Linked DNA regions of Saccharomyces cerevisiae S288C. Each later gene encodes a partner of the first gene's protein in a complex. Each region holds a gene or a part of one and is shown in the gene's direction. Other genes may lie near its edges.

The links.
Region 2: the proteins of SNF5 (region 1) and SWI1 are in contact, whole or in part, in a cryo-EM structure (PDB 7C4J), measured with the Saccharomyces cerevisiae proteins. Residues at the interface, in NP_009848.4 of Saccharomyces cerevisiae: Pro316 (codon at 2,780), Pro317 (codon at 2,783), Glu318 (codon at 2,786), Ile342 (codon at 2,858), Ile343 (codon at 2,861), Asp346 (codon at 2,870), Asn349 (codon at 2,879), Glu356 (codon at 2,900), Thr357 (codon at 2,903), Phe368 (codon at 2,936), Ser369 (codon at 2,939), Asn370 (codon at 2,942), Tyr373 (codon at 2,951), Ile374 (codon at 2,954), Leu377 (codon at 2,963), Trp378 (codon at 2,966), Thr380 (codon at 2,972), Leu381 (codon at 2,975), Tyr384 (codon at 2,984), Gln385 (codon at 2,987), Leu387 (codon at 2,993), Lys388 (codon at 2,996), Arg391 (codon at 3,005), Ile395 (codon at 3,017), Ile407 (codon at 3,053), Trp408 (codon at 3,056), Tyr412 (codon at 3,068), Asn417 (codon at 3,083), Ile419 (codon at 3,089), Thr420 (codon at 3,092); in NP_015309.1 of Saccharomyces cerevisiae: Arg662 (codon at 3,621), Tyr664 (codon at 3,627), Pro666 (codon at 3,633), Leu667 (codon at 3,636), Asn669 (codon at 3,642), His673 (codon at 3,654), Gly676 (codon at 3,663), Tyr677 (codon at 3,666), Asp678 (codon at 3,669), Tyr681 (codon at 3,678), Ile682 (codon at 3,681), Ile685 (codon at 3,690), Lys688 (codon at 3,699), Ile689 (codon at 3,702), Ser691 (codon at 3,708), Asn692 (codon at 3,711), Lys693 (codon at 3,714), Pro694 (codon at 3,717), Ile695 (codon at 3,720), Phe696 (codon at 3,723), Leu697 (codon at 3,726), Phe698 (codon at 3,729), Ala699 (codon at 3,732), Pro700 (codon at 3,735), Glu701 (codon at 3,738), Leu702 (codon at 3,741), Gly703 (codon at 3,744), Ala704 (codon at 3,747), Ile705 (codon at 3,750), Asn706 (codon at 3,753).
Region 3: the proteins of SNF5 (region 1) and SWP82 are in contact, whole or in part, in a cryo-EM structure (PDB 7EGM), measured with the Saccharomyces cerevisiae proteins. Residues at the interface, in NP_009848.4 of Saccharomyces cerevisiae: Ser413 (codon at 3,071), Gly414 (codon at 3,074), Tyr415 (codon at 3,077), Gln466 (codon at 3,230), Arg470 (codon at 3,242), Phe472 (codon at 3,248), Tyr499 (codon at 3,329), Arg500 (codon at 3,332), Phe501 (codon at 3,335), Glu502 (codon at 3,338), Gln508 (codon at 3,356), Gly553 (codon at 3,491), Gln554 (codon at 3,494), Asn555 (codon at 3,497), Glu582 (codon at 3,578), Leu583 (codon at 3,581), Glu584 (codon at 3,584), Leu585 (codon at 3,587), Pro586 (codon at 3,590), Tyr639 (codon at 3,749), Arg640 (codon at 3,752), Ala642 (codon at 3,758), Ser645 (codon at 3,767), Lys646 (codon at 3,770), Thr649 (codon at 3,779), Pro650 (codon at 3,782), Asn651 (codon at 3,785), Leu652 (codon at 3,788), Leu653 (codon at 3,791), Gln654 (codon at 3,794); in NP_116605.1 of Saccharomyces cerevisiae: Glu279 (codon at 2,574), Arg286 (codon at 2,595), Glu287 (codon at 2,598), Tyr289 (codon at 2,604), Ile290 (codon at 2,607), Phe293 (codon at 2,616), Ala294 (codon at 2,619), Lys295 (codon at 2,622), Gly296 (codon at 2,625), Glu297 (codon at 2,628), His298 (codon at 2,631), Ser300 (codon at 2,637), Ile302 (codon at 2,643), Pro304 (codon at 2,649), Gly305 (codon at 2,652), Gln306 (codon at 2,655), Ser307 (codon at 2,658), Ile308 (codon at 2,661), Ser309 (codon at 2,664), Gly310 (codon at 2,667), Thr311 (codon at 2,670), Leu312 (codon at 2,673), Glu313 (codon at 2,676), Leu314 (codon at 2,679), Ser315 (codon at 2,682), Val320 (codon at 2,697), Glu468 (codon at 3,141), His471 (codon at 3,150), Leu482 (codon at 3,183), Arg486 (codon at 3,195).
Region 4: the proteins of SNF5 (region 1) and SWI3 are in contact, whole or in part, in a cryo-EM structure (PDB 7C4J), measured with the Saccharomyces cerevisiae proteins. Residues at the interface, in NP_009848.4 of Saccharomyces cerevisiae: Pro324 (codon at 2,804), Ala332 (codon at 2,828), Asp333 (codon at 2,831), Thr334 (codon at 2,834), Asp335 (codon at 2,837), Leu337 (codon at 2,843), Leu338 (codon at 2,846), Gln341 (codon at 2,855), Gln344 (codon at 2,864), Arg345 (codon at 2,867), Lys347 (codon at 2,873), Ile348 (codon at 2,876), Arg355 (codon at 2,897), Tyr360 (codon at 2,912), Pro362 (codon at 2,918), Ser364 (codon at 2,924), Tyr366 (codon at 2,930), Gly367 (codon at 2,933), Phe368 (codon at 2,936), Glu372 (codon at 2,948), Thr380 (codon at 2,972), Tyr383 (codon at 2,981), Tyr384 (codon at 2,984), Asp386 (codon at 2,990), Leu387 (codon at 2,993), Thr390 (codon at 3,002), Ser394 (codon at 3,014), Ile402 (codon at 3,038), Pro403 (codon at 3,041), Ser404 (codon at 3,044); in NP_012359.1 of Saccharomyces cerevisiae: His303 (codon at 2,671), Val306 (codon at 2,680), Pro308 (codon at 2,686), Tyr310 (codon at 2,692), Val324 (codon at 2,734), Gln325 (codon at 2,737), Pro328 (codon at 2,746), Glu329 (codon at 2,749), Thr332 (codon at 2,758), Arg334 (codon at 2,764), Ile335 (codon at 2,767), Ser337 (codon at 2,773), Lys338 (codon at 2,776), Phe349 (codon at 2,809), Ser353 (codon at 2,821), Leu356 (codon at 2,830), Asn357 (codon at 2,833), Asn359 (codon at 2,839), Glu360 (codon at 2,842), Tyr361 (codon at 2,845), Phe362 (codon at 2,848), Ser363 (codon at 2,851), Val364 (codon at 2,854), Thr365 (codon at 2,857), Thr366 (codon at 2,860), Arg368 (codon at 2,866), Arg369 (codon at 2,869), Asn370 (codon at 2,872), Val371 (codon at 2,875), Ser372 (codon at 2,878).

What each region holds. Positions count from the first base shown.
Region 1 is NC_001134.8:777,833-782,901, forward strand, and holds SNF5 (Snf5p), read left to right. Parts: upstream 1-1,834; coding exon 1,835-4,552; downstream 4,553-5,069. Other genes in the region: YBR287W (uncharacterized protein), read left to right, coding at 1-22; APM3 (Apm3p), read right to left, coding at 180-1,631; BSD2 (Bsd2p), read left to right, coding at 4,759-5,069. UniProt on the Saccharomyces cerevisiae protein: Involved in transcriptional activation. Component of the SWI/SNF complex, an ATP-dependent chromatin-remodeling complex, which is required for the positive and negative regulation of gene expression of a large number of genes.
Region 2 is NC_001148.4:519,377-525,474, forward strand, and holds SWI1 (Swi1p), read left to right. Parts: upstream 1-1,637; coding exon 1,638-5,582; downstream 5,583-6,098. Other genes in the region: IRC15 (Irc15p), read right to left, coding at 1-857. UniProt on the Saccharomyces cerevisiae protein: Involved in transcriptional activation. Component of the SWI/SNF complex, an ATP-dependent chromatin remodeling complex, which is required for the positive and negative regulation of gene expression of a large number of genes.
Region 3 is NC_001138.5:35,064-39,203, forward strand, and holds SWP82 (Swp82p), read left to right. Parts: upstream 1-1,739; coding exon 1,740-3,611; downstream 3,612-4,140. Other genes in the region: putative Mg(2+) transporter ALR2, read right to left, coding at 1-785; EMP47 (Emp47p), read right to left, coding at 3,780-4,140. UniProt on the Saccharomyces cerevisiae protein: Involved in transcriptional activation. Component of the SWI/SNF complex, an ATP-dependent chromatin remodeling complex, which is required for the positive and negative regulation of gene expression of a large number of genes.
Region 4 is NC_001142.9:91,509-96,294, reverse strand, and holds SWI3 (Swi3p), read left to right. Parts: upstream 1-1,764; coding exon 1,765-4,242; downstream 4,243-4,786. Other genes in the region: RFA3 (Rfa3p), read left to right, coding at 1-134; KRE9 (Kre9p), read right to left, coding at 373-1,203; 60S ribosomal protein uL22 RPL17B, read right to left, coding at 4,638-4,786. UniProt on the Saccharomyces cerevisiae protein: Involved in transcriptional activation. Component of the SWI/SNF complex, an ATP-dependent chromatin-remodeling complex, which is required for the positive and negative regulation of gene expression of a large number of genes.

The sequences.
Region 1 (5,069 bases):
ACAGTGGGCTAACCCAACTTAATACAACTTTTCATTCCTTTGTATAGAGTCTTCATGAATGAAAGTCTTATTCATTTTTTTTTTTTTTTAGCATAGTTTTATATTCCTTTTTTATTCCAAGACTTATATTCTCATTATATTCTATTTAGTTTCGCATGGAATTTCAAGTACACATATAACTACAGCCTTACTTGAAAATTGCCTGTCTGGGTCTTATACTTTGCACCCTTGTACAGCTTTGTATTTTTGCCAATTGTTAATCCAGATACAATATCGATGGCTTCTACATAGATTCCACTGGCCGATTGTCCTATGTAAGAATATTCTAAGGAGACTGTTTGTAAATCAACTTTTTTTGTAAAATTTGGCCCAGTATTTTCATACTCAATACAGCCACGTAGTACAGGTACCGTTCCAGTGGCAGTTGATTTATCAAAAATCCATTGTCCTTGACCCATGATAATGCTATTTTCAAAACGGCCATGAGTATTGCGCAATATTTTTATCTTATATGCTATTTCATTTGGATCAGCATTCTCAACATTGAACTGTAAATCTATTTTTAGGTCATCAACTTGTGAAACTTTTTTGAAATTTTCAATATTTAAGGATAACTCAAATTCATCAGAATCTTTACCCAATCCATTTTGGAAGTGTAAAGACATCAAGCCAATAGAATTCATCCTTACTCCGGATTGCTTTACTTGAGAACTTAAATCGACGGAATACTCCAGCAATCTGAACTTCCCATCTGGTGGTATAAACGTTATATTAGAGGGAGAAAACACACCATCATTGATTTCAACACAGTCATGCAAACTGGGTATACCTATATCATTTCCCATAGTGTTTAATTTTACTGCAACTAGAGGATTATCATTCAAATAAGATCTCACGTCCACTATTCCATGGATACTTCCAGTGAGCAACCTTAGATGTGATTTTTTCTTTTCAAATACAACATGGAATGTTTCTAACAAATCCACATAAAGCTCATTATTCTCATGTTTGCTAGCCCTTGAAGTTCTCCAGGGAACAATCTCTTCATTTTCGATTAGTGAATTACTACCACGAGAAATCTGATTTTGTTGTAGCTGCTGTTGCCTTTGTTGTGGGAGTTGCACAGCCTGCTGTAAATTATGGGCTGTAGAACTTATGAACTTCGATAAATCCGATCTTTCAGGAACAGCTTCTTTAATTTTATTAACATAGAGCATATCACTCACATTTGGTTCACCCGCTTCGACGCAACAGTTAAAAATCAAACTGATTCTATCATAATTATTAACAATTTTCTTGATACTTAATTTATCCTTGTCAAAATATTCTAACAGGATACGATCTATAGTCTCTAAAAAGGTAAAACAATCAAGCGGGCCTTTTGACTTCGAAGTGGAGGCTAAGCACCAATAATTGAGCTTATTTATAACTGAGAAATACTTATAGACCTCTAAATCTCTTCCAACCATTGAATGGTCTAAATAATCATCACTACTGCTATCTTCGAGCAATTGAGGACATGTGGACTGAACGCGGGTCCACAGGTGCTTGAAGGAGGGAGCTGTTGCACCTAAAAGATACTGGAAAATAAGTTTGTTCTTTGTATCAGTGATATAGAATGACAAATACATCTATTTTGGTTGGGTTGGTAAGGTTTACAGCCTCTGTTGTTGCCCAAGTCCTGTTATCGCCAACTTTAAATAAATCTCTTCTTGTTCTTTGACCAAAAATTTCATTTTTCGTCGCATTTAAAAGAAACTGAAATTTCAAACATAAACACCAAAACAAAGCATCATCAAGGGAACATATAGTAAAGAACTACACAAAAGCAACAATGAATAATCAGCCGCAGGGTACCAACAGCGTTCCAAATAGTATTGGAAATATATTTAGCAACATTGGAACTCCATCTTTTAACATGGCGCAAATTCCGCAACAGCTGTATCAGAGCCTCACACCACAACAATTGCAGATGATTCAGCAACGACACCAACAGTTACTGAGGAGTCGTCTACAACAACAACAACAACAACAACAACAAACTTCACCGCCACCGCAAACGCATCAATCTCCACCCCCTCCTCCGCAACAATCTCAACCCATTGCTAATCAATCAGCGACTTCTACCCCTCCTCCTCCTCCAGCACCACACAACTTACATCCCCAAATTGGTCAAGTGCCCTTAGCTCCAGCGCCTATTAATTTGCCTCCACAAATTGCTCAGTTACCTTTGGCTACACAGCAACAAGTTTTGAACAAGTTGAGGCAGCAGGCCATAGCAAAAAATAATCCACAGGTTGTGAATGCAATTACTGTTGCACAACAACAAGTGCAACGCCAAATTGAGCAGCAAAAGGGACAGCAAACGGCACAAACTCAGCTAGAACAGCAGAGGCAATTGCTGGTTCAGCAGCAACAGCAGCAGCAACTTAGAAACCAAATACAGCGACAACAGCAACAACAGTTTAGGCATCATGTGCAAATACAACAGCAGCAACAAAAGCAACAACAACAGCAGCAGCAGCATCAGCAACAACAACAACAACAACAGCAACAGCAGCAACAGCAACAGCAACAGCAGCAGCAACAACAACAGCAACAACAACAACAACAGCAGCAGCAGCAGCAGCAGCAGCAAGGACAAATACCGCAATCTCAGCAAGTTCCTCAAGTTAGATCCATGAGTGGACAACCTCCCACCAATGTTCAGCCAACTATTGGCCAACTTCCTCAACTTCCAAAATTAAACTTACCCAAGTACCAAACTATTCAATACGATCCACCAGAAACCAAGCTACCATATCCAACCTATTGGTCAGACAAAAAAGCAGATACGGATACTTTGTTGTACGAACAAATTATCCAGCGTGATAAAATTAACAAATATTCGCTAATAAGAGAAACCAATGGTTACGATCCGTTTAGCATTTATGGATTTAGTAATAAAGAGTATATTAGTAGACTGTGGCATACACTGAAGTATTATCAAGATTTGAAGAACACTAGAATGAAATCTATCACAAGCACTTCTCAGAAGATTCCTTCGGCAAGTATTTGGGGAAATGGTTACTCAGGGTATGGTAATGGGATTACGAATACAACTACCAGAGTTATTCCACAAGTAGAAGTTGGAAATAGGAAGCATTACCTAGAGGATAAATTAAAAGTCTATAAACAGGCCATGAATGAGACATCGGAACAGTTAGTTCCCATAAGATTGGAGTTCGATCAAGATCGTGACAGATTCTTCCTCAGGGACACTTTGTTATGGAACAAAAATGACAAGCTTATTAAAATTGAAGACTTTGTGGACGACATGTTGCGAGATTACCGATTTGAGGACGCTACGAGAGAGCAACACATTGATACTATTTGTCAATCTATACAAGAGCAGATTCAGGAGTTTCAAGGAAATCCATATATAGAGTTGAATCAGGACCGTCTAGGCGGTGATGACTTGAGAATTAGAATCAAGCTGGATATTGTCGTGGGACAAAACCAGTTAATCGATCAATTTGAGTGGGACATCTCTAATAGTGATAACTGTCCAGAAGAGTTTGCAGAGTCCATGTGTCAAGAATTAGAACTACCAGGTGAGTTTGTGACTGCCATTGCTCACTCCATAAGAGAGCAAGTTCATATGTATCATAAATCACTGGCACTGTTAGGTTACAATTTTGATGGATCAGCGATAGAAGATGATGACATTAGAAGCAGAATGCTCCCAACGATTACTCTTGATGATGTTTATAGGCCTGCAGCGGAAAGCAAAATTTTTACTCCAAACCTATTACAGATTTCAGCTGCAGAGTTAGAGAGATTGGATAAAGATAAGGACAGAGACACAAGAAGGAAAAGAAGACAAGGTAGATCTAATAGACGTGGTATGCTCGCATTGTCCGGCACATCTGCAAGTAATACATCTATGAACGGCGTTCACAACACAGTAGCAGCAGGAAATGCTTCATCGTTGCCACCAGGAGAGATTTTACTGCCAGATATTGCAGATATTCCAAGAACTTTCAGGACTCCAGTACCTAGCACTTTAATGCCTGGTGGTGTTGACGTAGGCCCTTCTGTGGAATCGTACGAATTGAGAAACACAACCACTTATAAAAGCAGGCCAGATAGACCTAAGCCAGTTTCACCTCCTTGTTATATTATTGACCATATTCCGGGTCATTCGCTACTACTTTCTATTAAACTGCCTGGGAAAGTTAATACAAAAGAAGAGTTCGCAGCAGCGCCCAATGACACAAGTAGTGGCACCAATGCAATGCTTCCGAGTCCAGAATCGCTGAAAACTAAGCTGAATAGTAACATTCGCGCTGGTGTGACGATACCTTCAATCCCAAACCCGATTGCCAATCACACTGTTACTAATTCACCCAATCCCACACTGCAGCCAGTAATCCCAGGTGGGGCAGCTAGTAAATCGGTACCTACACCTAGTCTTCCTATAGCACCTCCAGTAGCACCACATGATAGCGAAGCGACATTGTTGACTAATAGCAATAATGGTAGCAGTAACAATAACACACAGAATACATAGAAAATATATACACATATATAAAATATACCGGAGATGTAAATAACCGTGGAAGAATTTGTATTATCATCGTGTTATACGATGCGGAGTCCCTTTGCGCCTACTTTTTTTAGAAGAATAGTACATAACCTTTATAAAAATCTTCCAATTTAGATACATAAAAAGAGCATGAGAATAACAAGAACACGTAGTCTAGGAAACTAAGCGCTATGCCAGAGCAAGAACTACTTATAGGGCAAGAAATGAATACACTTCATGCAGGTTCATCTACTGATGGCATAAATGTCGGAAACGCAGGACGAACTAGAGACACACAAACTGGCGTAGAAGGGGAAACGGAAATAGGGTCTGACGAGGAAGATAGCATAGAGGACGAGGGAAGCAGCAGTGGAGGAAATAGTACGACAGAAAGACTAGTACCACACCAGCTGAGGGAACAAGCAGCCAGACATATAGGAAAAATAGGAAGACATTTTAATATTCTTGATAGACTTTTTAAGAAACGTACACAACAGTCTTC
Region 2 (6,098 bases), on another chromosome or scaffold:
ATCAAGACGTCGCAATGATGTACATATGTTTTCTTTGACACCTTGTTAAGCAAGGTGATGTTCAGCTGACCGGCAGCATCGGCTTCCGCGAGCTGCACTCTAGTGTCTAAAAGAAAAGCTATACCCTGACACTGCAAGAGGGTCTTCGTGGCAGAAGCCAACTCATTGTCCATATTTTGACAGATCTCGCTTTGAGATTCAACGATAGTAACCCGAGAGCCCAAATTATTGAATATGCATGCGATTTCTAGTCCAATTGTACCTCCTCCCATGATAGTAAAACGTGAAGGTATATAATCCAGTGACAATGCCTTATCAGATGAAATTATCTTGTCATTATCTATTGCAACACCAGGACACTGAATAACCGCAGATCCGGTCGCCACAACAATATATTTCGCCTCTACGATGAACGGTTTCATGCCGCGCTGCGCAATCTCAACGTGGTGAGGATCTTTGAAAGCAGCCGTGCCTTTATACACAGTAACATTATTTTTAGATAGCTCACGTTTATACACATTGCCCAACTCTTCTATATTATGTTTGAGTGCACTCTGGGCCGCCTGCATATCGAATTTTGCAGGAAACAGCCGCGTGCCACGTTGCTCGATAAGTTCTTGCTGTTGTAGCAGCCGATAAAGATAAGACTCATATAACAAGGTCTTGGACGGGACTGCCCCGTCTACAAGGTAGGCGCCCCCCAGCGAGGCACGCTGGTCAACACATGCTGTGAGCAGGCCTGCTTGCGAAGCCTGCATCGCTGCAGTAAAGCCACCAGGCCCGCAACCAATTACCAGGACATCGTAAACTGCCGCAAAATCCTCCATCGTGCTTAATATTTCGTCTTCACCTCCCATTACCAAAAATGCTCACCGTTAATTATATCATACTTCTCTTCTCCTCTCGTAAAATCGTGCGCATGTTAAATAGCCGCCGAAACAGCAGATGCATGCCTGCAGGTCTGGGTGTACCCCCTGCCTGAGTGTTCCACCCAGGCCTCGCCGGAGGAAAATGCCACCGCACTCAAGTTCGCACAGAAACTACCGCATAAATTTATTCTAACCCGGAACTGACGTTTATCGTGATATGAACTTTGGGTATCTCCGATTACGAAACGACGCCACCCCTCCTTCCCCAAAGCACCGAGAAAAGATTTTTTTTAAAACTGAACGCTGATTGACTTTACGTATTATTACCACTATGCATTATTGTTGTTTCTGTTGTGGTTGTTGCCAGTTGTAATCATATTCACATTGCGTTTTAGTCATAACCACCTTCCGGTATTCATCATTCGTATTGAATAACAATATTTATACCGCAAAACACTATACGGCAAGGCAACTGATTACACTTTGTTTACCTTATTTTTTTATTATTTATTTTTCTAGAAAGTATTGTTGTGTGGCTCTATCCTTATTACACCATCTCTGCTTTGGCATTTCGCGTTGTTTCCTCTCACGGATTGCAGATTATTGTTCACCAGGTAATAATCACTGACTGGCGGCTATTTTCCTATTACACTCATTATTCTTAAAATTTTCTTTTTCTATCTCTATTTTCTTTCTTTTCGTGTCTTATAATAATAATAATAATAATAATAATAAAAATAGTAATAATAAAAATAGTAATAAATAAAGATGGATTTCTTTAATTTGAATAATAATAATAATAATAATAATACTACTACTACTACTACTACTACCAATAACAATAATACTAATAATAATAATACTAATAATAATAATAATCCTGCTAATAATACCAATAACAACAATAGCACAGGCCATAGTAGTAATACTAATAACAATACTAATAACAACAATACGAATACCGGAGCCAGTGGTGTAGACGATTTTCAGAATTTTTTCGACCCAAAACCTTTTGACCAGAATTTGGATTCCAACAATAACAACAGTAATAGTAATAACAATGATAACAATAACAGTAACACGGTAGCCTCCAGCACGAACTTTACTTCTCCAACAGCAGTCGTTAATAATGCCGCTCCTGCTAATGTTACCGGTGGAAAAGCTGCTAATTTCATTCAGAACCAGTCTCCCCAATTCAATTCTCCATATGACTCAAACAATTCCAACACAAATTTAAACAGCCTGTCTCCTCAGGCTATTTTAGCCAAGAATTCAATCATTGATTCTTCCAATTTACCTCTTCAAGCTCAACAACAGCTATATGGCGGTAACAATAATAATAATAGCACCGGAATTGCGAACGATAATGTAATAACACCCCATTTTATCACCAATGTTCAATCCATCAGTCAAAATTCCTCATCTTCTACTCCGAACACAAACTCTAACTCTACTCCGAATGCAAATCAACAATTTTTGCCATTCAATAACAGTGCTTCCAATAATGGTAATTTGACGTCTAACCAGCTTATTTCTAATTACGCTGCTTCAAATTCAATGGACAGATCATCCTCTGCAAGCAATGAATTTGTTCCGAACACAAGTGACAACAACAACAACAGTAATAACCATAATATGCGTAATAACAGCAATAATAAAACGAGCAATAACAATAATGTCACTGCCGTGCCTGCTGCAACTCCCGCTAATACCAATAATTCAACTTCAAACGCAAATACAGTGTTCTCTGAAAGAGCTGCAATGTTTGCCGCTTTGCAGCAAAAGCAGCAGCAACGTTTTCAGGCTCTACAGCAGCAGCAGCAGCAGCAACAAAATCAACAACAGCAAAATCAACAACCACAACAGCAACAACAGCAACAACAGAATCCCAAATTTTTGCAGAGTCAACGGCAGCAACAACAAAGATCTATTTTACAAAGTCTGAACCCGGCATTACAAGAGAAAATATCTACTGAATTGAATAACAAACAATATGAACTTTTTATGAAATCTTTGATTGAAAACTGTAAAAAAAGAAATATGCCGTTACAATCAATACCAGAAATCGGCAACAGAAAAATAAATCTTTTTTATCTTTATATGTTGGTTCAAAAATTCGGTGGTGCAGATCAAGTAACAAGGACCCAACAGTGGTCTATGGTGGCCCAAAGGCTGCAAATTTCCGATTACCAACAATTAGAATCAATCTATTTTAGAATTTTATTACCTTACGAAAGACACATGATTTCCCAAGAAGGTATAAAGGAAACTCAAGCGAAAAGAATATTCTTGCAACAGTTCTTACAAGAACTATTGAAGAAAGTTCAACAACAGCAGCAGGCCGCTGCATTGGCCAATGCCAACAATAACATTAATAGTGCATCGTCAGCACCAACCCCCGCGGCTCCTGGCGCGTCCGTTCCTGCTACAGCAGCACCAGGAACAGAAGCAGGGATCGTTCCGGTTTCAGCAAACACTCCAAAAAGCTTGAATAGCAATATTAATATCAACGTAAATAATAACAATATTGGCCAACAGCAAGTTAAGAAGCCAAGAAAGCAAAGAGTGAAAAAAAAGACCAAAAAGGAATTGGAACTAGAACGTAAAGAAAGGGAGGATTTTCAGAAACGACAACAAAAACTTTTAGAGGATCAACAAAGGCAACAGAAATTGCTATTAGAGACAAAATTACGTCAACAATATGAAATCGAACTAAAAAAATTGCCTAAAGTCTACAAGAGATCAATTGTTAGGAACTACAAACCCCTAATCAACCGCCTCAAGCATTACAATGGTTACGATATCAATTACATCTCTAAAATAGGAGAGAAAATAGATTCCAACAAGCCAATTTTTCTCTTCGCGCCAGAGTTAGGTGCAATTAATTTACATGCTTTATCAATGTCCCTCCAATCGAAGAATCTTGGAGAAATAAACACCGCCTTGAACACCTTGTTGGTCACAAGCGCTGACTCGAACTTAAAAATATCTCTGGTCAAATACCCTGAATTATTAGACTCCTTGGCAATACTCGGCATGAATTTACTGTCAAATTTGTCACAAAATGTTGTTCCATACCATCGAAACACTTCTGACTATTATTATGAGGATGCTGGATCAAATCAATACTATGTTACCCAACACGATAAAATGGTTGATAAAATTTTTGAAAAGGTAAACAACAACGCTACACTTACACCGAATGATTCTAACGATGAAAAAGTCACTATCCTGGTAGATTCTTTAACAGGTAATCAATTGCCCACCCCTACTCCTACTGAAATGGAGCCTGATCTCGACACTGAATGTTTTATAAGTATGCAGTCGACATCTCCCGCAGTTAAACAGTGGGACTTATTGCCTGAACCAATAAGATTCCTCCCTAACCAATTTCCTTTGAAAATTCACAGAACTCCTTATTTGACTTCTTTGAAAAAAATCAAGGATGAAATTGATGATCCATTTACAAAAATAAATACCAGAGGGGCAGAGGATCCCAAAGTTCTGATTAACGATCAACTGTCTACCATCTCGATGATTTTGAGGAATATTTCATTCTCCGATAACAACTCCAGAATCATGTCGAGAAATTTTTACCTAAAGAGATTTATATCTGATCTACTTTGGTTAGTCTTAATCCATCCAGAAAACTTTACATGCAATAGGAAAATACTAAATTTCAAGAAGGATTTGGTTATTGTTTTATCAAATATTTCTCATTTATTAGAGATCGCTTCGTCCATTGATTGCTTGTTAATTCTTATTCTAGTCATAAGTTTTGGTCAACCAAAACTCAATCCAATGGCGTCTTCGTCATCATTTGGCTCTGAATCTTTGACCTTCAACGAATTCCAGTTGCAATGGGGAAAATATCAAACTTTCGGTGTAGATATTTTGGCCAAATTATTTTCATTGGAAAAACCGAACCTAAATTATTTCAAATCAATCCTTCTGAACAAAAACACAGGTAACAACCTCTATGATCGCAACAGTAACAACAACCACAAGGACAAAAAGTTGTTACGAAGACTTTTGAATTTATACAATGATAACAATAAAAATAATAACAATAGGCACAACTTGCTAAATGATGTGGTTTCGTTTTTATTTTCTGCCATACCGCTGCAGCAAGTGTTATCGCAATCAGCTGATCCAAGTTTGCTGATCGACCAATTTTCTCCGGTAATTTCTCAGAGTCTAACTAGCATCTTAGTCATTGTACAAAAAATATTGCCGTTATCCAATGAAGTATTTGAAATCAGTGAGAATAATTCAGACAGTAACAGTAACAATAACGGCAACAAAGATTCTAGCTTCAATTTCAACAAGAATTTACCATTTGTGTGGTTGAGCTCTGAAGAAAATATTGGATCTGGACTATTGAAGTTAAGTGAGATAATATTGAATATTAACAATTCCACAAGTAAGAATACTTTGTTACAGCAACAAAATTATTCAAAGGTGCTCCTACCGTCAATTAACATATCCTGTGTTCAGTTAATCAAATGTTTGGTTGAAAAAAGTATTTGTTTTGAAAACTGCCTAAACAACGACCCGGAAATATTAAAAAAAATAGCATCGATTCCAAATTTGTTCCCCACGGATTTAGAAATTTTCCAGTTATTCACTAATCCATCAGTTGATATTCAAATAATAAACCAGTATCAATTACTTTACAATTTAAAAAATGATATCCTAACCAATTTGGAATGATGCGATTTTTTTAAACAATATTCTTTTACTGCTTATTTCTTCCTTGCGCACTATTTTCTTTTTATAAACCTATATAAAATGTTGTAACTAATATAATAGACCTTATGGAAACAATACAGTCGGAAGAGCGCCTTTAGTGCCAAAAGCCCAAATGAACGTATAGCTGCCATGAAGTCACATCTTGGGCGGCTCAACTAAACAATGGTTTTAGTAACTTCCCACTGGTCCCGTCGCGGCTACAAAAATTCCTTGAAATTGTATAAAGGAGTTTATGACTCCATTTCAGGCAGTAAATACAATTCATACACACCACACATACATTCAGAGTTAACGTTCGCTATAATAAAACGGTAGAGAGTCAGATGTGGAGTCAGCGTGGGGGGTGGGGTAACACTCCACCTTTGAAAACGGTGTGACTTCGCCCTTTCGATGGGAGGAGGTAAAGCTCAAATAGGACAGAATCATCCAAGAAAATTTCAAGCTGCCCACAAAGTCAAGATCGCTTCAGAAGCTGTT
Region 3 (4,140 bases), on another chromosome or scaffold:
GCTTGCGATATCTCACTATGGAAAGATACCCTGCTATCCATACGTAACGGTTTAATTCTTCGTGTGTCATTTCCCATATCGGACTTTTGCGATGCAGTTCTTGTCAACAACGTTGTAGGATTGACTGATGAATGTGTCGATATTGTAGAATAGGTTCTTCTCTTAAGTTTCGCCTGTTTGGGATGCGTACCATGCTCTGATTCAGCCGATGTTTCAAAGATTGCGCTAACTAGCGAAGCCTTACGAGCGCTTGTAAAAGTTCTTGCCGAGGAGGAGGCTTCTAAGTTGCATCTGTTACTTGACGTACCGGCAGGTAACGCCGTATCATGGCCTCTCTCTAAAGCCGCATTCTTTGGCAAAGAGGGAGCGATGCTCTCTACATGAATCTGCTTTTGGTGAGTTTCAGACTTTGCTAGCCTGGATGGCCTCGCATTAGAACTTAAAAGCGCGAAAGATCTTAACTGGTAACGTTTCACTGCTTCTGCTTCTGCTTCACCTTCAAAATCCATGCGGCCACTTGTGGATATATTCGTTTTCTCCACATAGCCTCCATTTTCCACTCCACTATTCTCCCCGTTAGAGGAACTAAATTTGTGTCTAGAATCTTTCGTTTCGTCCACTTTCAATGCAAGCGCTTCGTGACGTATTGGTTGTGCATCAGAATACTGCCTATAGTTCTCTAATTTTGGGTACTTGCCTGTCTTCATGGAAGCCGCCGTATTGTCAACGGATTTTGACCTTGGTAAATCTGACGATGAATCAAATGAAGTGGATAAGGACGACATTACGAAGTTTTTTCACGTTTTCTCATAAAAATTCAGTACTTCTATAAAGGTGATTAAAATATATTCCTGTCGATTTTTTTATCCAACTGACAGTACATTTCCATGTAAGTAATTGTTTAGCAATAGTAGTCTCTACCGTCCTTGCTGAACATTGAATAGAGGAAATAAACGCTGTTGATTTTACCTTTCCACTTTTATAATATAAACCTCTACGTTAAAATATCATATGCTCGAGGAAAACCTGATTTCTCTGGAAGCAGCCACTTTCGTGAACAGCCAAACCAAATGCTGCATTTTTCGAAGAAAATTTTTATCTCAAGGAGTCGCTTTTGTAACTTATAGCCGGTCAGGCAGTAAAAACGTACCTGAAAGAATAGTTTGATAGTAGGATATGGACAACGGTTAGTTTTGTCTGTACTTCTTGTATACAGGGCCTCTGTCAAATGAATGTGCGTATAAATTAATGGAGGTCTTGCATAGTTTGTTGAAACTTGGAAGAACTGTCAACCTTCACATATATGATATCCACGGTCTAAGCACGAAGGGCACTTCTTGTTTCTCACATTTAGGCAACTACGATGTGGGAAGTACAGCTCAGTTACGGAATCTAGCACGTAGGAAGAATAAGCGATAAGTGTTCCCTTCAACACATCCATAAAGGAGTTTAGCAGCTGATATATTTGTCGTATCTAAAAAAATTTTCAGAGTATTATGACCTCGTCAAGTACAACGGAAATATATCCTGACATGGAAAGATTAGCCGTTCAGAAAGTGGCCCTGTGCATTAAATATAGTTGTAGTTTCAGCCGTCTATATTTTTTTTTCGAACCATCACTTTTCCCTTTCTGGACTTTTCTCAATGTAAAAACAAGAAAAACATGGAATGTATAATACTATAAATAAAAAAAGTAGGAAGAAGAACCAAAACAAAGGGCGTTTTAAAGAGAGACGAATATGCTTGGCGAAGATGAAGGGAATACCGTTCTTGAAAAGGGAAATAATCCTTCTGTAAAACAAGGAGAGGTTGGAGCTGTATTTATAGTACCCAAAATACTTATCAGAGAACATGAAAGAGTGATACTTAAGCAAATTCTGCAAATCCTGGATCAAGATGAATTGGTTCAACCTCCCTTAGACAAATTTCCCTACAAAAAATTAGAATTACCGAAATATATAGATGAACTTAAGACGAGAGACGCTACTAATACATCCTACAAGATGATACAATTGGATGCTTATGGTGAGAAAAAAGTGGGTTCGAACGGTGAATTATTTGGCGGTAGACATTATTTGTTCAACACCTTCACATTCACGGCTCATATGGGTGTTCTTCTGGTACTTTTACAAGATGTCATTAAAGTGTTATACCAAAGCAACGCAACGCATGACGAGGACGAGTTTATTGTCCAGCATGATCAAATTCTGGTAATGGAAACTTCTGAGGAACAAACAAAATTTTTGGCCAAAAATGGTGTCATTCCTGAAGAATCCAAAGGATCTTTTAAGTATATAACTGCCAGGTCAGCCTTTGTTGAATTCGGTGCTTCTGTTATTGCCGGTGGTCAACGCATCGTTGATGATTATTGGGAATCTTTAGCTAAAAAGCAAAATTTGTCGTCTCACCAAAGGGTTTTCAAATTATCAACAAATTTAATTTCTAAAATCTCACTTTTACGCCCCTCCTTCCAAAATAACAGGATTAGCAATGCCAATGAAATTAGTGCGAACACTAATAATACCTGTACGATTTCTACTTCAAAATTCGAATCACAGTATCCAATAGTCACGGAACAACCGTCAGCGGAGATTAGAGAAGCCTATATTGAAAACTTTGCCAAAGGTGAGCACATTTCGGCAATTGTTCCTGGTCAAAGCATTAGTGGAACATTGGAACTCAGTGCACAATTTAGAGTACCGCGTTATCACAGCAAAAACTCATTTCAACAAGCTCTGCAAATGAAGGCAATGGACATACCAATCGGAAGACATGAAGAATTACTTGCGCAATATGAAAGTCAAGCTCCTGATGGTTCCGCTTCAATTTCACTTCCTAACCATATTCCATCTGTCAATCCTAGCAATAAACCAATCAAACGAATGCTAAGTAGCATTCTTGATATTAACGTTTCCTCATCAAAAAACAAGAAGTCTGAGGAGAACGAAATGATAAAACCCATGAACAAGGGCCAACACAAAAATAATACATCGTTAAACATAAACGGCTGGAAATTTGAATCTTTGCCATTAAAATCCGCCGAGAATTCAGGTAAACAGCAATATTATAGAGGATTGCCGTTATATGAAAAAAACACGCTGCTAGAAAGGTTGAAACAGCTGACACCGAACGAAATTAAAGAACTAGAGCATTTACACGATGCCGTTTTTGTTAATACCGGTTTGCAGAACGTTAGAAAAGTTAGGACAAAAAAATGGAAAAAGTACTGGCAGTACAAGGCAGGTATTCCTATCGGTTTGAAACGGTCTCAATTGGATGAATTCAAAAATAAATATTTGAAAGATGTGTTGGCGCAAACGAGTGTTACTACAAATTTTAACGAAATAACGAATACGGATGAAACAATAACAACAAAGAGGGTACCGAACCCAAACTTCCTAGGAAATTGTAACATTAAGGATTTTAAACCTCCATACATTTATTCTCATGTGAACAAAGTACCACAAAATGTCGCTGGGGATAAAACGGCTGTTAAGCTGGACACTGAAGTAAAGAACACAAATGCTAATCCAGTGGTGGCGACGGATCCGGTCGCCGCTAAACCGGACAACCTGGCTAACTTCAGCAACGAAGTAGCTATGAATAATTGAAAGAAGTAAAACATAATGTAGGGAACACTCCAATAAGAAATAAACCATTGTTGAAGTAGTAATATAAACTATCGTTCGTTATTTTATAAAATATGTATTGTTACATATATATACATATATAGGGAATGCATGTGCACAATTGGTTTGAGTGGAAGGAATAATCCAAAATCATAGCAGTTTGGTCTTTATGATCTCTTGTCTGATTCTGAATGTGTAATATGCCATAACCAACATAATGAAAATTAATGGAAGTAACCAAATCATTAGTTTTCTGGCAATTTCGTCGACCTGAGGACCATCTTGTCCATGACGTTTGGTAGCTTCCCTATACTTTTCTTGTTCAACCAGGACTTTCTCCAATTTCTGATTGATTGATAAGAAGTCTTTGAAATTTTCTTTATCCTCAGCGATTGCATCATCGGTGGACGTTCCCTTTTCATTATTAGCTGGTGGCTTAGAAGAGAGCTGTTTAGTTATCGTAGTCATGAATGATAATAGCTCTTGTTGGACCTTAATGACATCATTTAGC
Region 4 (4,786 bases), on another chromosome or scaffold:
ACAATGATGACGGCGAGCTAGGATTTTTGATTCTAGACGCTGTACTATGCAAATTCAAGGAGAACGAAGATTTAAGCTTAAACGGTGTGGTTGCTTTACAGAGACTATGTAAGAAATACCCAGAAATATACTAGCTAAAATCGCTTTTATTCTTACCTTTATGTACTGTTGCCTCTATATGTCTTCCCTTCATATAATAAATTCCATTTCTAAAAAAATTGTAGTTGTGTTTATAGATGTATAGATAGATAAATGAATGTGTACTTGCTGCCTTAACGCCTTCCGCTAAAAACTTTTTGATATTTATTTTATTTTTAACCTTTCCTGACTTCAACCCTTACTGTAATGATGATAGTAGAAGCCGTCTATTTTTCATACTTTTCTCATGTTGATTTTCCTTGCAGACAAAGACAATCTCTTGGATGGTTTGTACCAACCACCATTATCTGAAGGCATAGATGCAGGAGTAGCGTAGTTTACTCCCGATGATATCGTATAAGACCAGCCAGGAGTTATCGTAGTTGCTTGCTCTGGCAATGACCCAAAGGTAGAGTAATATGTCACAGCACTAGTGGCAAATTTCCTTGTCCATGTGGTAGCGGTCACTTTAGTATTTGGCTGCATTTGCATTGGAGCGAAACGCGACGTACCAGTCTGCTTGGTGTACGGAACAGTAAATGAACGACTGTCAATAGTAGTGGCTTGGGCGTTGTTTGTAGTGGTTGTTTGAATAGAAGTCTGGGGAGTAGGTTCAGTTGTGGCACTATATGTATAAGCCGTAACACCGCCCATGGAAGTCAACTGGAATCTTGGTGTATAATGGATAGTGTAACCTTGACCGTCCACCTGGGCAAAAACTTGAATGTAATATTGACCGTTCCCAGTTAAGGTCGAAGCAAACTCAGCTGTGTAAGAGTAAACTTTATCATCTTGTGTTAGCTCACTTGGAGTAATTTTACTGGCAAGTACGGCCACACAGTCAATGTTGTTATTAGGACCAGTACAAAGACTGAACGTGAAAGTTGAAATCTTGCTTAACGAGGGATATGCCCCATTATCCATCCATTCAACGGGAACAGAGACAGTACCACCACTTGGACTGAATGTTGCCTTGGAGCTGGGGGAAACAATATTCACATCTCCCAGCACAAATGAGACTAAAAACACCAAAGCACATATGATGGAATTTCTTTGTAAACGCATTATCTATAATATGTCACAGTTGCTGATTCTCTGAGAAGGAAGTAAAAAGCGAAAGAGTAGATTCCTAGTAATCAAAACAAAGTGTGAACTGCCACTTTTAGCGCTTCTTGGAACTATCAAACTGGAGCAAATCTGGCTTCAAGAATGCTTTGAGACTCCTGTTCTATTCCTGTATTATCCTTGAAGATCTTTTTCGAGGAAAAAAAAAAAGAAATGTAAATAAAACACCTAATCGTCAAAAGTGATATTATATTGAACCGCCGTGGTTACGATGGAATAATGGTCAATACGCAGTTTAGATGGCATCCAACAATTCAGGATGGCCAATGATGTTATTTTAGTTTGAATTGATTACTTTTGAGCTAGTTTAAATTCGATTTAAGAGCCATTAAGTAGGCATCACGAATAACGAGGCCGGACGTTTGGCGTTTAGGCCATTGGCGAAAAGACGAAAACAAACTATATCAGATACGCAAGAGGAATGTGTAAAGGCCATGCAAGGCGCGATATATTGGTACATCGAGGCGCGTTCAGAGACCAATTGTGATACGGTTTGCAAGCATGGAGAATACACTGGGTGAGGGGTCCACGGTAAACGCTTCCGTGGACGTGGACCAACATGGCAATGACAACAATAGTGATAGCAACGCTAATGCAGCTGTGGCAGGGGTTGCCAATACAGATACTGCTGGTGAAGAATCGCAGCAACAAGATGAGTCTCTGAAGGATGAAGCAACTGTTCCGAACACACGCGATGCAGAAAGTGAGGCGATAACGGTAACGGCAAAGCAGCAGCCGACTATGCAAGCGAATAAGCTAGATTCCCAGGAAACACCTTCTACAGAAGAAAGCAGGGCCCAGAACGTCTTTGGCCAAGATAATGAGGATAGTGATAATCTCTTTGGCGAAACCGAGAGTTCTGTTTCGAACAATGAGGCAAACACTCCTAGTATACCTACGAACCCGGTAGACAATGAAAACAATAAGCCTGCTATTAAGGAAGACAGCACAATACAGGATTCAAATGGTGACGTTAAAAACATGGAGGACGTCAAAATACAAAAAGAGGAAGAACCAGAGAATAACACTGTTATTGAAGGTGTCAAAGAAGAAAGTCAGCCAGATGAGAACACAAAGGAAATGGATGAAGTGGAAGAAGATGATGAGGATGACGATCAACCGATGATTAGTCCTGATAATTCCATTTTTGGAGACACAAAGAGTGAGTCTAAACAACTAGGCAACACTTCGTCGGTTGCTAATACTCCATCTGAAATTCCAGATGCGCATAAAGCTGAACAGGAGGATATCATAGAAAAGACGGAAAGTGTAGATAAGAAGGTAGATAGTGGCGAAGAGAGAAACGAACAGGAACGTGAAATCATGAACGATCACTCCAAAAGTGCCAATCCAAAGAAAACCACTATCACCAGAGTAGAACCCGAAACTTTTGAGATACCGCAAGCACATGAAATTGTTATTCCAAGTTATTCTAAATGGTTCAATCTAGAAAAAATTCATTCCATTGAAGTTCAATCGTTACCTGAATTTTTCACCAATAGGATTCCATCAAAGACACCTGAAGTTTACATGAGATACAGAAACTTCATGGTAAATTCTTACAGGCTGAACCCCAACGAATATTTCAGTGTCACTACGGCGAGGAGAAACGTCTCTGGTGATGCTGCTGCATTATTCAGATTGCATAAATTCTTAACAAAATGGGGGCTAATAAACTATCAGGTTGACTCCAAACTATTACCTAAGAACATCGAACCCCCACTAACGTCTCAATATTCCACAAGGCATGATGCCCCCAGAGGACTATTCCCATTCGAAAGTTACAAACCATCTGTACAACTGCCGGATATGGCAAAGCTTAAAAAAATGATGAACACTAGTGATTCGGAGAGTACTTTATATAAATATTTGAAAGAAAGCAAAAGAAAATATGATGAAATAACTCACCCCCCCAGTACCACTGATGATGAAAATGGTGACAAAAATGATAATGGTGGTAAAATGAACAATGAAGTAAGTACGTCAACAAGCATGACTGGTGATGCCAATCTATTGGAAGAAGGCGAAACTTCACGTCCTCTGAAAAAAGTCAAAATTCTAGAACAAATTGATGAAAATTGGTCAAAAGAAGATTTGCAAAAGCTATTAAAGGGAATACAAGAATTCGGCGCTGACTGGTACAAAGTGGCCAAAAACGTTGGCAATAAGTCGCCTGAACAGTGTATCTTACGTTTCCTTCAATTGCCCATTGAAGATAAATTTTTATACGGTGACGGCAATGGCAAGGGTGATAATGACAACGGGTTAGGACCTTTGAAATATGCTCCTCACTTGCCATTTTCGAAGAGCGAAAACCCCGTTTTATCAACAATAGCATTCTTGGTGGGTTTGGTCAATCCGAAGACTGTACAGTCGATGACCCAGAGAGCCATTCAGTCCGCAGAATCAATAAAATCACAAAAAGAGGAAATCTCTGACCAAAAGCCAATTGAACATATTAAAGAAGGTTCAGAAATTGCCATATCATCATTGGGTTATAGGAGTCATATTTTCGCTACCAACGAGGAAAGGCAAATGAATTTTTTGACTAACGAGCTAATAAGACTTCAAATGGAAAAATTGGACGCTAAATTAAATCATTTAAAGAAACTAGAAAAATTTATGGAGCTAGAAAGGAAAACCCTAGAAAGACAACAGGAAAACTTACTAATTCAGAGATTGAACTTCAACCAAAACTCCAGCAAGATTGTAAACGTTTTAAGCAAATGCTTGAATTTAATATCCGACAGCAATATCAATAATAGTTCAGTGGCGGAGAAGGAGGAAATCAGGTCGCAGATAGACCATTTCAAAAGTATGCTATCGAAACCTGAAACTTTAAGTATTGGAAAGAATCCATTTAACAAACCTAATATTGAAACAGGTGAAAACCATAATGGCCAAAGTATATCTAACGAGAATGATGTCAAACCCATTTCTATTGAAGCACCTCAATTTTACAGGTATTGGTCGGCATAACAATGACACATGGAGATCATTTTTGTTTTTGTTGTAATTATTCTTCATTAGTAACACTTTCTATTTTGTTTCGCTCTATATTTTTGCTTATTTTCTTTCTTCTAGGTTCATTTCTTTAATGGTGCGTCACTTGACTTGGCTTCTCTCTGATTTTTATCCCATTTCTCTAGATTCGACTAGACATGTTATGTACATGTAGATATATATCTATAATTGTGTTATTTTCTATTTTTTCTATTTTTTTTATTTAAAAGAGCCTTTATCAAAAGTTATTTTTCTTGTTCTGTGTTGTTCTTAGTTTGATTTTGATTCTGTGTATTGGCCTAAACAAATTAGTATATAGTAGTATATAAATCAAATATTCACTTTAAAAGATTTTAAAATTAAAAAAGCATTTAAGCAGAGATACGTTTTTGGGCAGCAATTCTACCTCTTTGTCTAGAAGTCAATCTGACAACCTTCTTTTCAGCAGCCTTGGCGACAGCTTCTTCCTTTTCGGTAACAACCAATTCAATGTGAGATGGAGAAGATTCGTACTTGTTGA